Linked DNA regions of Macaca fascicularis. The protein of the gene in region 2 binds, or shares a complex with, the protein of the main gene of each other region. Links are inferred from orthologs where the notes say so. Each region holds a gene or a part of one and is shown on either strand. Other genes may lie near its edges.

Region 1 (4,254 bases), on a different chromosome or scaffold from region 2:
AAGGACACCAGTCAGATAAGGGTCCACACTAATGACCTCATTTCAATTTAATCACGTCTTTGAAGACCGCATGTCCAAATACAGTCACATTGAGCTACTGGGGATTAGAACGTGAACATACGAATTTTGGGTGGGGGGAACACAATTCAGCCCATTAACATTGAACTTAAGTCTTTTCTCCCCTCCCTCCCTTCCTTTCTGTGTGTATTGAACACCTATTATGTGCCAGACATTCAGCTAAGTGGGGGTAATGGTAAGCAACTGACATGGTCTCTGCCCGGTAAGGTTTACAGTGAGGTAAGACAGTAATTACCAAAGCATAATATTTGCTTTAGAGTATTAATAATATTACTCTTTAGAGTAATAACAAGTGCCATGCAAATATTATGCTTTGGTAATGGATGACAGGAAAGCCTTGCCCTTCCCATCAGGCTCCCAACCCGGCTGGGCGAGTGAAAAGGTTGCGTTATGAGCCAACCGGCTGGGCGCGGTGGCTCACGCCTGTAATCCCAGCACTCTGGGAGGCCGAGGCAGGCGCGAGTTGAGGTCACTAGTTCGAGACCAGCCTGGCCAACACGGCGAAACCCCGTCTCAACTAAAAGTACTAAAATTAGCTGGGCATGGTGGCATATGCCTGTAATCCCAGCTACTCGGCAGGCTGAGGCAGGAGAATCGCTTGAGCCCGGGAGGTGGCGGTGGATCACGCCACTGCACTCCAGCCTGGGCGATAGAGCAAGACTCCGTCTTAATAAAAAAATTAAAACATTGGCCGGGCGCGGTGGCTTTGGGAGGCCACTTTGGGAGGCCGAGACGGGTGGATCACGAGGTCAGCAGTTCAAGACCAGCCTAGCCAAGATGCTGAAACCCCGTCTCTACTAAAAACACAAAAATTAGCCGGGCGTGATGGCACGTGCCTGTAATCCCAGCTACTCCGGAGGCTGAGGCAGGAAATCGCTTGAACCCGGGCGGCAGAGGTTGCAGTGAGCCAAGATCGCGCCACTGCACTCCAGCCTGGGCGACTCCAGAGCAAGACTCCGTCTCAAAAAATAAAATTAAAATTAAAAAAATATATATTTTAAAAACTGAGCTAACCATGAGGTTAACAAGTCAACCACTTGTCAAACTGGGAGACCCGCGTTTGCTACAAAGCAGCAGAGGTCTGGCTTTAACCAGCAGCGAGCGCCACCTCAAACCGCCCTTTTCTATGACGCAGAGGTTCTCCCCCGCCCTCCCTGACTCCGCCTTTTCCCTGCTTGCGGCCCTGCCCCTCGCGTCCTCTCCGGCTTGCTGCGCACCCTCCCAGAACGCGTCTGCCTCGGCCCTAACAATGGGGGTCAGTCGGCCACGCCTGCGCCATAAAGCCTAGGGGGCGGGCCCAGCCGGCGACGGGAGGCGGGGAAAAGCGACGCAAGCAGTCGCGACGCCATTTGCTGCCGCCGAGCGTGGACGCTGGCGGATCTCTGAAGAGCTCGGTTGCGATCCTCTCTCGCGCACGCTGCCTAGCCTCCAGCACCTCCTTGGTCCCGCGCGCTCCCTCGTGTCGCCCCTCGGAGCAGCAACCGCCTCGGTCGCCGTTACCCGGAAAGAAGTCAGAGACCCCGCGAGGTCGCCGCCACCGCCATGCCCAAGAATAAAGGTAATGCCGCCCGGACCCCCGGACCACGGCCCTCCTCGGCTGAGTTTCCCAGGTCCTGCCCGTAGATTGCAGGTCACCCAGGTCGCAGTGACCCTTTTTCCTTCCCACCCTACCTGCCCGCGGCTGGGCGTCCCACACGCGACTCTGAGCTCGGGAGAGGAGCTGGGAAGTAAACTCCTGTTGCCCAGTTTGGCCACATTGGGGTGGAGCCGACGCCATTTTTGTAGGGCCTCCTGCGGGAGAATGGGCTTTTGCTCCTGATTCGCGCCAGACTGACCGCGGCTCGGTGGCGATGGTGGCGGGAACCCTACACCGGGCGGCCTAGGCTTAGTAGATAGGCCCATCTGGCCTTCCCGGGCATGAGGGGTTAATCCCTGGAAGCCGTTCTGAACTTTAAAAGAGTGCTGTCCGCGTTCGTGAGCACCAGGTACTCCTGCATGGGTCTCTTTATGGACAGTTCAGTATTGTTGAGGCTACTCGTTGTCCCTTGTGAACAGTGGGTGAAACCTTGATGCATTTCTAAGGCTCACTTCTAGAGATTTACTCTCTCCATCCCTTTACAGGATATAGCTTATGTTTGTTTGCTGAAGACTTATTCCATATTTAGCCAAGTTTTCTACTTTTGCTTCAGATCATGCATATGTTGTGAGAATAAAGACCTAATTTAAGTTTTCTCCATTCTGAGGCTAAGGATTCACAAATGATCAGACTTGAGGATAACTTTATTTGGGATTTCCAAAACGAAAGGCCTAATCTTAAAAAAAAAAAAAAAAAAAAAGGCGTAACACTTCTAAATAAATTACTTTTATAGATTTACAGTGTTCCTGTCATTTTTAATAGCCTTATAACTTGTTGAAGAAAATTGTGCAAGTAAATATAGGGAAAATATTGTATTTTCCTACAGGAGAGGAGCATACTTCATAGTCCATAAGTAGTCTCCTTTGATTATTCATTCTTAGGAAATCTTTCCCTGACACAGGCCTACTTCTGCTCTCTTTTCTACTTGACAGCTGGCTCCAGGAATTCTACCACATTTCGTCTTTGTAGCTGTCACTTGTTACTTTATCCCTTAGGGTACTTGGTCAGGGTGTTCTGTGCACAAGTTGGTGCAGTCCTCTCGGGGGCTCTCCACCTTGCTGCCCTCAGAGATCAAACTTTTTGTAGCAAGGATTTTCACTGCTCATTATTTTGGAAAAGATCGAGTTATAAACAAAAAATTTTTTAAGTCTTAGGTTTTCTTCTGTATAATCCTTTATTCTCTCTGAGATGGTAAGGGGATCACTTCCATCTTATTCTCATCTTTATTTCTAGTAATAAGATTTTCAATTCTTCCACCAGGCTGTAAGCTCTAAAAGGCAGGAATAGTATCTGTCTTAATCACATTCGATTGCTAGCACTTGCCACTTAGTAGATGCTCAATAAATATTTGTTGGTTTAAGTCACCTTCCTCCTGTCAACTCCACCCTTAGGTGAATAATAGGTTCTGCTTTGGTTCCAAGGGGATAGGACTTCTACACTAAATCACATCTAGTTCCCTAGCCTCATGTCTTAAGAAAGAGCCTCTCTGGGAATTTCTCCAAAACAACTCTGGTTTAAAGAATGTTGATGTCACTTTAATTGTTGTACACTCAGACCTAGTCTCATTCATTCAACAGAGAATTTAAAGAACATCCCATTACATGGCAATAAAATACAAAGGGGAATGATCAGGGTATGGTTAATTCTGGTAAGTTGACAAGTAATGAATGGTTTCTTAAATAATATTTGAGGCATACAAAAAATACAGCTAACATAATGGACCTGGGAACCCAGGGGTTTCTCAGAACCTGGAAACTCTGAATTTAAGAATTACAACGCAAATTGAGGTAAAGCCCTAATCACCTTTTACTCTCTTTTTGGAGGTTATCACCAGGCTGAGTTTGGTGTTTATCATTCCTGTACTGTCTTGAAACCAATCAGTTCTTAGTTATCTTACTTAGAGGAATGGTACTTTTCATGACCCCTGAATTTTTTGAGATAGGTTTTACTAATGTAGAAATAAAGTCATTTATTGTTCTGTTTTTCTGCATTGGAAAATCCAGAAGCCCTGTGAATATAAGCTGTGGTTACACAAGTAAGGGTAAAATTTGCCACATACTATGTGTTAAGTGACTTTTGCTTTGGATTGATTCATATCAACTTATTCTAGAAATTCTTAGAAACCCATCCTCAAATCAGGAAAAGGGGTATCATTTGGCCCACTCATAAGCATTTAGGGTATAGTGCTCCCACACTTTGAAGAAGTTACTGCCTATGATTTTTAACTCACCACTCCGTTAGGAATGTATGGACTATTCTTGACCAATTCATTTGAAGAATTAGTGAACTCAGGTATATAACTCAGGAAACAGAGCAGGTATGATCTTGCCCTAAAGGAGCTTGCACTCTGTTTTGCAGATCTGGCATGATTAATGGCTTCATACTTTTCTCTTTCTAGGAAATTAGTTTCAGTGTTCCCTAAGAATGCCTCAGATACTGAATTCTAAGGACTCTGAGCGGGTCAGGAAATTGTAGAGGCCCCCCTAAAATAGCACAGAGCAATGTGAGACTGCCCCAGGAGAGAGTAAGTGGACTTGATT
Region 2 (3,571 bases):
GAGGATATCCTGAATTCTAGGGATCATCTCAAAGGAAGCCTCAAACTGCAAAGCAGAGATATCACAAGTGCTTCATAAGGTTACAAAAACTTTGTAGACTTAAAAAAAAAAATCACCCCCTATCACTGCTCTGTAAAACCAAGGCTATGGACTAGCCTCTGAAGAAGAGCAGATGTTATCTCCTCCAAATAGGCTTGAGGTAGGGAGCCCCAAGGAATGCACAGATGCAGGCTTAAGCTGCTCTGCCAGCTTACGGAGGAGTAGAGAGCAGACTGAGGTCCTGGGAGGTGAGGAAAGGCAGGATGATGACTACCATGTAAAGAAGCAGCTCTGTGGGATGACAGTGGCCCAGGTGTGGTCTAAAGCCAAGAGGCTAACTGAAACTGGGTTGGGGAGTTAAGCAAAGAGGCCACGATGCCCATGGCTTCCTTTTCTCCTGGAGAAATCCTGGAGGGAGTTCTGGGAATAGCAACCAAAGCAGTCTTTGTAAAGAACTTTACAATATGCAAACTACCTTCACTTAAGACCACATCTGCTATCCAGCACAGTTCTATGAGTTGAGTAAGCCAGACATTTCAATGTTCTCAGTTTTTAATGGGAAGCTGAGGCTTGCCCCAGATCAAGCAGCTTCTAAGTGGTCACCCCAAAACCTGTGCCCAAGCTTATCACAAGACTTATCACACTGCTTTGTGACAATCTGAGCAACTTGAATTTCCTCTGCACTGGGAGCAACTTGAAGGCCAGAACTACTACATGTGGAGGATGTCATGAGCATCCTTAGTGCTCACAGGGGACAGTAAATGTTGAAGTAGAAGGCCCTACAGAGCTGGAGGTTGAACAGGGGCCCATAATAACATCACTTAAGGGTTGAAGGATATAACGTCAATGTCCCTCATGAGGCTGAGGAATCTCAATGACATCACCCTAATTGGGCTGGGGACAAGGACAACATCACACACAGAGTTGAGTGAGATAATGACATTGCTACCTACAGAGTGAGGCAATTATAGGTCATTCATGGAGTCAGAGGACCAAATATATCACCCCCACGGGGCAGGGAGAACAATGACAACATTACCCACAGAATTGAAGAGTGACAATGACATTCCCACAGGTGGGGGTGGGGGGATGGCAAAGACAATGTCACCCACGGGGTTGGGTCCCTGTGGCACTGGCAGCTTCCGAAGCTCAGGGCCTTCGTGATCATCCTCATGATGACTGATGTCCAATGTGGTGAAGAGGTTGGAGAGAAGCCCCAAGATGTGAACAATGGCCAGCTTGTTGGAGGGATTGGGCTGCAGGGAGAAGCAAACCAAGCTCCAGATCTCCTAGCCCCAGTTTGGTCCCCAGATCACTGAGCCCCAGCTCTAAGGGCCAGCTCCACCTTCACCCCTCATCAGCCACAGCGTACCAGTACTGCTCCCGGCCCCCAGAGCTCACTCACTATCTCCTCTGCCAGCTTCTCCAGTTGCTGGATATAGGGTGAGATAAGCGAGTGCAGGTTCTTAAGAATCTCCTCCACTTGAAGAGCTGACAGCAGGAAGCCCAGCGCCTGCATCAGCCACATGCACTGGCTTGTCTGTGGGGCAGAACATGGATGGTCAGTCCTGGCCACATCTAGTTGTGGGGTAAGAAGGAAAACGGGCCTCTTGGGAGAAGAAAAACACAGAGAATAAGGGGTAAGAGGAAGGGGAAGGCCAAAAAACAGGATTTCAGGGATAAGAGATTCCCACAAGACCCCCAAGGAGACCCCTAGAAACTTCTGAGCCGCACCTTGTGGATCTGTTTCATCAGCACATCCTGCGGGGGAGAAAGAAGGAATGTAGTATCAGCACAGTGCAGAGTGTGCTCTGAAGCTCAGTACCATCCAGGGCCCCTGCATACCTGGGACACGGCCACAATGTTGGCAGCATAGGGAGGCAGGTCATACTTGCACTCTCGGCAGATCTTCTTGAGGGTAGACACAGAAGAGACAGAGAGCTCAGGATTGCCTAGGGCATGCAGTACCAGGGGCAGAACACTGTTGATCATGACGGGGTGGTCAGCCAGCCATTCAGACAGAGCTCCTGGAGGAAGGAGGGAGACAGAAGGATCTTTGAGGCAGGCCAGACTGGCTTTGTACCATGTCTCTGAGGCAAGCAGAGTTCCTGGCAGGGTCAAGTTGCAGCCCTAGCACAGAGCACTGCTCCATTCAGAGGACATATGCATGTGCATGCTCAAACATGAGCCTTACAGCTGAGAAGCAGGGAGAGGTTACTCAACAGAAGCCCAGTACTGCTGTTTCACTGACAGTAAACTAGCCTCACTGAATTCAGCTCAGTGTGCCATCAGATGGACCCCCTAGACCTGCCAGGACAGTCAGTTTGTTACAACACTGATTGTGTGTAGGCACATGGCTCTCCCATTCTGGATAGAATCCAGCATGCTGGCTGTGGCCGGGGTGGGGTGCTGTGGCTCTGGGAATATGGTCATGGGTGTGTGCCAGGTCTCACCAATGGTGAACATGACAGTGTCTGCCAGCTGCACGTTGCTGATGCTGATCCGTGGGATGAGGCCAATGAGCCCAGGCACCACATCAGAATAGTTGACGTCAATGGTCTCTGCGATGGATTGGAAGCCGTAGAGGAGGGCCTCTGTGTGCTGGGGAAAGAGGGTGCCACTGGCTTGGATGAGGAGGAGGGTGTGACAGGTCTGGGAGGGCTGAGGGAATCAGGCTTGGGAGGTACCTGCCAGGAGTAGGGCTCCTCTGAGCTGGTGAGCAAACGACCCAGCTTGTCATAGAGGTTGCTGAGCAGCTCGGCCCCCAACATCTCATAGACATACATGAGCGTGTCTGAGATGTCCACCCTGAGAAGCAGATGAAGGCCTTTTATACTGCCTGGATCCTGACCCTGGATCCTGCCCCCAAGCCCAGGAGCCTACCCCAGTACCCCCACAACTCTGCAACAATGCCTAGAAAACAGAGAAAGGAGCCCCAAAATTCAGAAAGCCTGGCCTTGGGCCCCTTCCCTCATTGCCTTCATTATTTCTGGACTCCATTTTAGAGGAGCTGGCCTGCTACCATCACCTGTAAATTCGGAACTGCTCCTTCTCGTCTGAGGACCAGAATCCATATTCCTCATCAGAAGGGAACTGGGCCTTGTGCAGAAGCACATCCACCAGCTGGAAGTAGACTGGCCGGTACACCTGCTGGTATACAGCCTGCTTCTCTGCCTCAAAGGATAGAATATCATCCTGAGAGAGCCAGGGAAGACAATTAGCCACCTCACCAGCAGCCATAGAAGCCCATGATCCACCTTCTTCCACCACAGCCCAGTCCTACTGGAGGTCACACAGACACACCTGCAGCGTGTACCAGAAGGTGAGGGTTAGGGAGCTGGTGGTCTCATTGACAGGATAGTGGCCAGGGATGCCTGTGCAGAACATAATCATGTTGACAAGTGCCAGGAAACTCTGCCAGTGCTCTACTTGGTCCAGCAAGGCCCTGGGGAGGAGGAGACACAGTCAGGTCATTCTACCTCTCCAGGGACTTCCATAACCCCACCTCTTAGAGGGCCCTACTATCCCACCC
Region 3 (4,297 bases), on a different chromosome or scaffold from region 2:
TGGAGCTCCCGCCAACCACGGTTTCAAGGCTCTCTCTGCACGTGTCTCCACCCTCCACTTCCACATGGAGCAGCTCAGTTGTGGCTTGAGGACTCACAGCTCTCGCTTCCCCAGCCCCAGGGTGGGCTTCATGAGTAGCCACAGCCTGTGCCTGGTGCGGTGCAAAGCAGCCTGGTGAACGGCCGTTTTGAGGAGCCACGACCTCCCAGGTGCCCGGGGTCTGAGCGGGGCCAGGAATCAAGCAGGTCTCTGAAGCCCCAGGCCAGTGCTCCAGACACTGAAGGACCATGGCCAACACGATCCTCACAGCCAGGCAAGGCCAGGCCCCAGAGAGGCCAGCCCCAGAGAGGCCAGCCAGGCCTGGGACCCTGCCACAGGTAGCCCTCCTACTGAAGACCGGACAGAGCCACCTAGAGGCCCCCGTCCCAGCACCTAGCTATTGCTGTCTCAGATGTGAGAAGTCGTGAGGGTGCTCCTGTGAGACCTCCCGCCAAGGTCTGGCTGATGCTGCTGTATCCCCTGCCCCAAAGCACTCAGCACCACGGGGTGGTCTCACAGGAAACTGCACCACAGGGCAAGGAGCCACAGGTGCACACCCACCCTGTCCTAGGCAGAAGCCAGGCCCCTCCCCCTGCTCCCCCTCCTACTGGCCTCCTGGAGAAAGTGGCCAATGTGTTACAATGTAATCACAACACAGACGAAGCATTCAAAATCCCGCTGAAAATCGAATTTGCCCTTCCAAATTAACAGATAAGCACTAAGTGAATGGCTAGCAGTTACTAGACCCTTCAGAGCAGGGAACTTATATGAGGCAAAGACAAAAACAACCCTCATCTATCAGAGCCAAGCAAGGCCCAGACACTGCAGCAACCAGGACAGGGCCAAGCACTCCAGGAGTGGCCTGAAGGTCTGCCTTCTGTCCTGCTGGGCACCCGCGACCGGCTGAGCTTTAGCTTCTCGGATCACCACCTTGCTCTGCTGGTTGACAGCACCGACTTCCGAGCAACTTCCTGGCTGAAGGTGAGCAAAGCACTCACCTCTCACAACTCCACCGCACTCATCTCCACAACGGGTGGTCGCCACGACGGCTGGCACAAGAAGCCTGTAAAGGTCCTCCTGCACCCAAACGCAAACTCTCCCAGGCTTGGGGAGGTATTCCCTTCTGCAAGACCCAGGCACCTGCAGTCAGGAGACGCTCACCTGGCCGCACCTGATCTGCCCCAGGCCCCCAGAATGTTTCTGAAGCAAGATCCCAAACCCTGACACATCACACAAGCGCACACCTTCAACCACCCAGTGGTCTAGGGAAGGGACCTCTGAAGGAGCAATCAGGACAAACTCAGGTCCCGTCCTGTCTTCCGCTGCGCAGCTTCTCTACCCAAACGCAATGTTTCTTGTTCTTCAAAAAACATTCGGCGTAGGTCCTATAAAAGGAAACAAACCGAACTCCCCAAAGACAGGCACTTTGCAAACAGAGAAACAAAGCGTAACTTCCAATTATAAAAACGAAACCACTTCATTCTGCGATTCAAGCGTGACTACAGGCCACGATCACAAGCCCAGCTAATCACTCCCTTACCTTCCTCCCACGCACGTTAACTACCAGAGCCAACCACTATTCAACCGGTAAAAACCCATCCCCAAAACAATAAAACTCCCTCCAGCGAGGCGCTCACGTTCAGGGCCCCAGCAAGCGCCAGGGCAGCATCTTCAGAGGCGCAGGAAAACTTAAGACTTGTTTTGGTTTCAAGGCACCGAAAACAAGCCCGCTCGCCGGCCCCCACCCCCGCGAGCCAGCGGTGTTGCAATCCAAGAGTCTCCCCCGCGACCCATCCCCTCCGTCCGCGGGGCGACAGTGACCCCGGAAGCCGCTCCCCGCGCAGAAGGAAGGCGCGGCCTCGCGGGGCCCCGGCTGCAGGTGGCTGCCCCGGCCCCGCGCCAGGAGCACCTCGGGGGCGAAGTGGGGGAGCCCCGGCCCCCAAGGCCTGCGGCGGCCGGGGCGCTCGGGCCGCAGCCCCGCGGCGCCAGCAGCGCGGACCGAACCGGCGCCGAGCGTGGGGCCTCTCGGGCTCCCCGGGAAGCTCGGCCGCGGCGCGGGGCCCGGCTCGGCGGGGCGGGGCGCGGGGCAGCCGGGGGCCCGGGCCCGACAGGAGTAGAGGCCTCGGCCCGACCCCCGCCCCGCGGCCCCGGCCCGGCCCCCGCCCGCGCTCACCTCGGGCGGCCGCGGCCCCGGCGAGCGTCGCGGACAGGTGGAAGACCGAGCGGGGCGGCGGCGGCGGCGCTTCCCTTTGTCTCGGGACTTCCCTCCGGAGCCCGCTCCGCGCGCAGCCCGAGCAGCTCCGAGGACCCTGGCGCGGGCGGGGCGCGCGGGGCGGGGCCTGGTGCAGGGCTGCCCTCTGCACGCCTGCCTCGCGCGCTGCCACCGCCGCCCGGCCCCGAGCACCGCCCGCGCCGCCGCGCGCCCCCCGCTGCCCGTGCCCCGCCGCCGCGCGCCCGCGCCCCGGGTCCGCCCCAGGAGCCCGGCCGGGGGGGTGACTTTTCAGTCAGGCGGCGCCCTGGACACCTACGCCCTTAAAGGAGCCGCGTCCCCGATGTGAGGGAGCGTCTGTAAACTCCCCTTCGGGGTGCCCGCGTCCACCCGAGGACACGCCGGCGAGCAGCGGGGGATAAAGGAGGCCGAGATCTCCAAAAGCTCCCCGGATGCCCGGCGGTCACCTCTCCAGGCACAGGTCTCCGAGGTTTCCTTGGGGTCAGAGCCTGGGGCCGGGGGGCAAAGACCACTGAGGCCTAAGGATTCCCAGAAGCGTCGCAGGACGGTGACGCTCCCGCGAGTTCAGCGCCCTGTGAAACCTCTTGCAATTGGCCATTTCTGGGCGGTGGGCGGAGAGACCTTCTCATCTGCCCAATGAGCCGACCCCGTACAAAAGGCCGAAAGCGAGCATGACCGACGGGAGGAGAAGTGTGGATGCTCCCTAATCCGGGGGCGGGCCCTGGGCGGGGGCGGGGCGTGGGGAGACTACGAGCGGCGGGGGCGGGGCGAGCCCTTGGGGGAGGGGCGCTTCCGGGCAACAGCCCCCCACCCCCCGCCCACGCAACTCCCGAGACCGGTCGAGAGGCCCCCAGCCCCGCGAGCGCGCGGGATACTCCGTTCGCCAACGCGCGGTCGTGCTGGCCCCGGGGCTCTCCCGGTCCCCCCGCCCCCCATTTCGCCGACGGCGGGGCCGCCGCCAAGGTCACGGTGTCCGGGTGCTTGGGGACCGCGGGGACTGACCACATTCATTCATTCCCTCCCTCATTCATTCATTCCCTCCCCCACTCACTCATTCCCTCTCTCCCTCATTCCCTGCCTGACTCATTCATTCAATCCCTCCATCACTCAATCATTCCTTCCCTCCCTCACTCATTCCCACCCTCATTCATTCCCGCCCTCATTCATTCCCGCCCTCATTCCCTTTCGCACTCATTCCCTCCCTTACTGCTTCATTCATTCCTTCTCTCCCTCACTCATTCCCTCCTTCATTAATTCCCACCCTCCCTCATTCCCTCCATCATTCATTCCTTCCCTCCCTCACTCATTTCCTCCCTCATTCATTTGTTCCTTCTCTCCCTTACTCATTCCCTCCCTCACTCATTCATTCCTCCCTCCCTCATTCCCTCCCTCACTCATTCATTCCCTCCCTCACTCATTCCCTCCCTCACTCATTTCCTCCCTCGTTCATTCGTTCCTTCTCTCCCTTACTCATTCCCTCCCTCACTCATTCATTCCCTCCCTCCCTCATTCCCTCCCTCACTCATTCATTCCCTCCCTCACTCATTCATTCCCTCCCTCACTCATTCCCTCCCTCCCTCACTCATTCCCTCCCTCCTTCACTCATTCCCTCCCTCCTTCACTCATTCCCTCCCTCCCTCCCTCATTCCCTCCCTCCCTCATTCCCTCCCTCACTCATTCATTCCCTTCCTCACTCATTCCCTCCCTCACTCATTTCCTCCCTCCTTCACTCATTCCCTCCCTCACTCACTCATTCCCTCCCTCCTTCACTCATTCCCTCCCTCACTCATTTCCTCCCTCACTCATTCCTTCCCTCATTCATTCATTCCTTCCCTCCCTCACTCATTCCCTCCCTCCCTCATTCATTCCCTCCCTCACTCATTCCCTCCCTCACTCATTTCCTCCCTCCTTCACTCATTCACTCTCTCCCTCACTCATTCCCTCCCTCCCTCATTCCTCCCTCCCTCACTCATTCCGTCACTCATTCCCTCCCTCACTCGTTCCTTCCCTCATTCATTCATTCCTTCC

Evidence for each region.
Region 1: the proteins of IPO13 (region 2) and EIF1AX are in contact, whole or in part, in a crystal structure (PDB 3ZJY), measured with the Homo sapiens proteins. The link is inferred for Macaca fascicularis from reciprocal best matches to the Homo sapiens genes IPO13 and EIF1AX. Residues at the interface, in NP_055467.3 of Homo sapiens: Tyr365, Asp369, Leu372, Asn936, Lys937, Arg938; in NP_001403.1 of Homo sapiens: Leu42, Arg82, Lys88, Tyr106, Gly107, Glu108.
Region 3: the proteins of IPO13 (region 2) and UBE2I are in contact, whole or in part, in a crystal structure (PDB 2XWU), measured with the Homo sapiens proteins. The link is inferred for Macaca fascicularis from reciprocal best matches to the Homo sapiens genes IPO13 and UBE2I. Residues at the interface, in NP_055467.3 of Homo sapiens: Leu33, Tyr34, Tyr35, Asp36, Pro37, Ile39, Lys42, Gln46, Glu73, Tyr76, Gln178, Thr179, Arg181, Gln231, Glu261, Val264, Asn265, Met302, Glu303, His306, Arg310, Val313, Glu317, Asn318, Thr355, Ser358, Leu359, Leu361, Thr362, Ser413; in NP_003336.1 of Homo sapiens: Arg13, Lys14, Arg17, Lys18, Asp19, His20, Pro21, Phe22, Val25, Val27, Lys59, Glu99, Asp100, Lys101, Asp102, Arg104, Lys110, Gln111, Leu114, Ile125, Gln126, Pro128, Ala131, Tyr134, Thr135, Cys138, Gln139, Ser158.

Annotation. Positions count from the first base shown.
Region 1 is NC_088395.1:20,005,258-20,009,511, reverse strand, and holds the start of EIF1AX (eukaryotic translation initiation factor 1A, X-chromosomal), read left to right. Parts: upstream 1-1,413; 5' UTR 1,414-1,620; coding exon 1,621-1,636; intron 1,637-4,254. UniProt on the Homo sapiens protein: Component of the 43S pre-initiation complex (43S PIC), which binds to the mRNA cap-proximal region, scans mRNA 5'-untranslated region, and locates the initiation codon. This protein enhances formation of the cap-proximal complex.
Region 2 is NC_088375.1:190,801,822-190,805,392, forward strand, and holds part of IPO13 (importin-13), read right to left. Parts: intron 3,485-3,571; coding exon 3,343-3,484; intron 3,235-3,342; coding exon 3,068-3,234; intron 2,848-3,067; coding exon 2,727-2,847; intron 2,641-2,726; coding exon 2,493-2,640; intron 2,067-2,492; coding exon 1,885-2,066; intron 1,801-1,884; coding exon 1,774-1,800; intron 1,580-1,773; coding exon 1,445-1,579; intron 1,296-1,444; coding exon 1,152-1,295; intron 1-1,151. UniProt on the Homo sapiens protein: Functions in nuclear protein import as nuclear transport receptor. Serves as receptor for nuclear localization signals (NLS) in cargo substrates.
Region 3 is NC_088394.1:2,054,411-2,058,707, reverse strand, and holds the start of UBE2I (SUMO-conjugating enzyme UBC9), read right to left. Parts: upstream 2,842-4,297; 5' UTR 2,568-2,841; intron 2,351-2,567; exon of another isoform or gene 2,213-2,350; intron 1-2,212. UniProt on the Homo sapiens protein: Accepts the ubiquitin-like proteins SUMO1, SUMO2, SUMO3, SUMO4 and SUMO1P1/SUMO5 from the UBLE1A-UBLE1B E1 complex and catalyzes their covalent attachment to other proteins with the help of an E3 ligase such as RANBP2, CBX4 and ZNF451.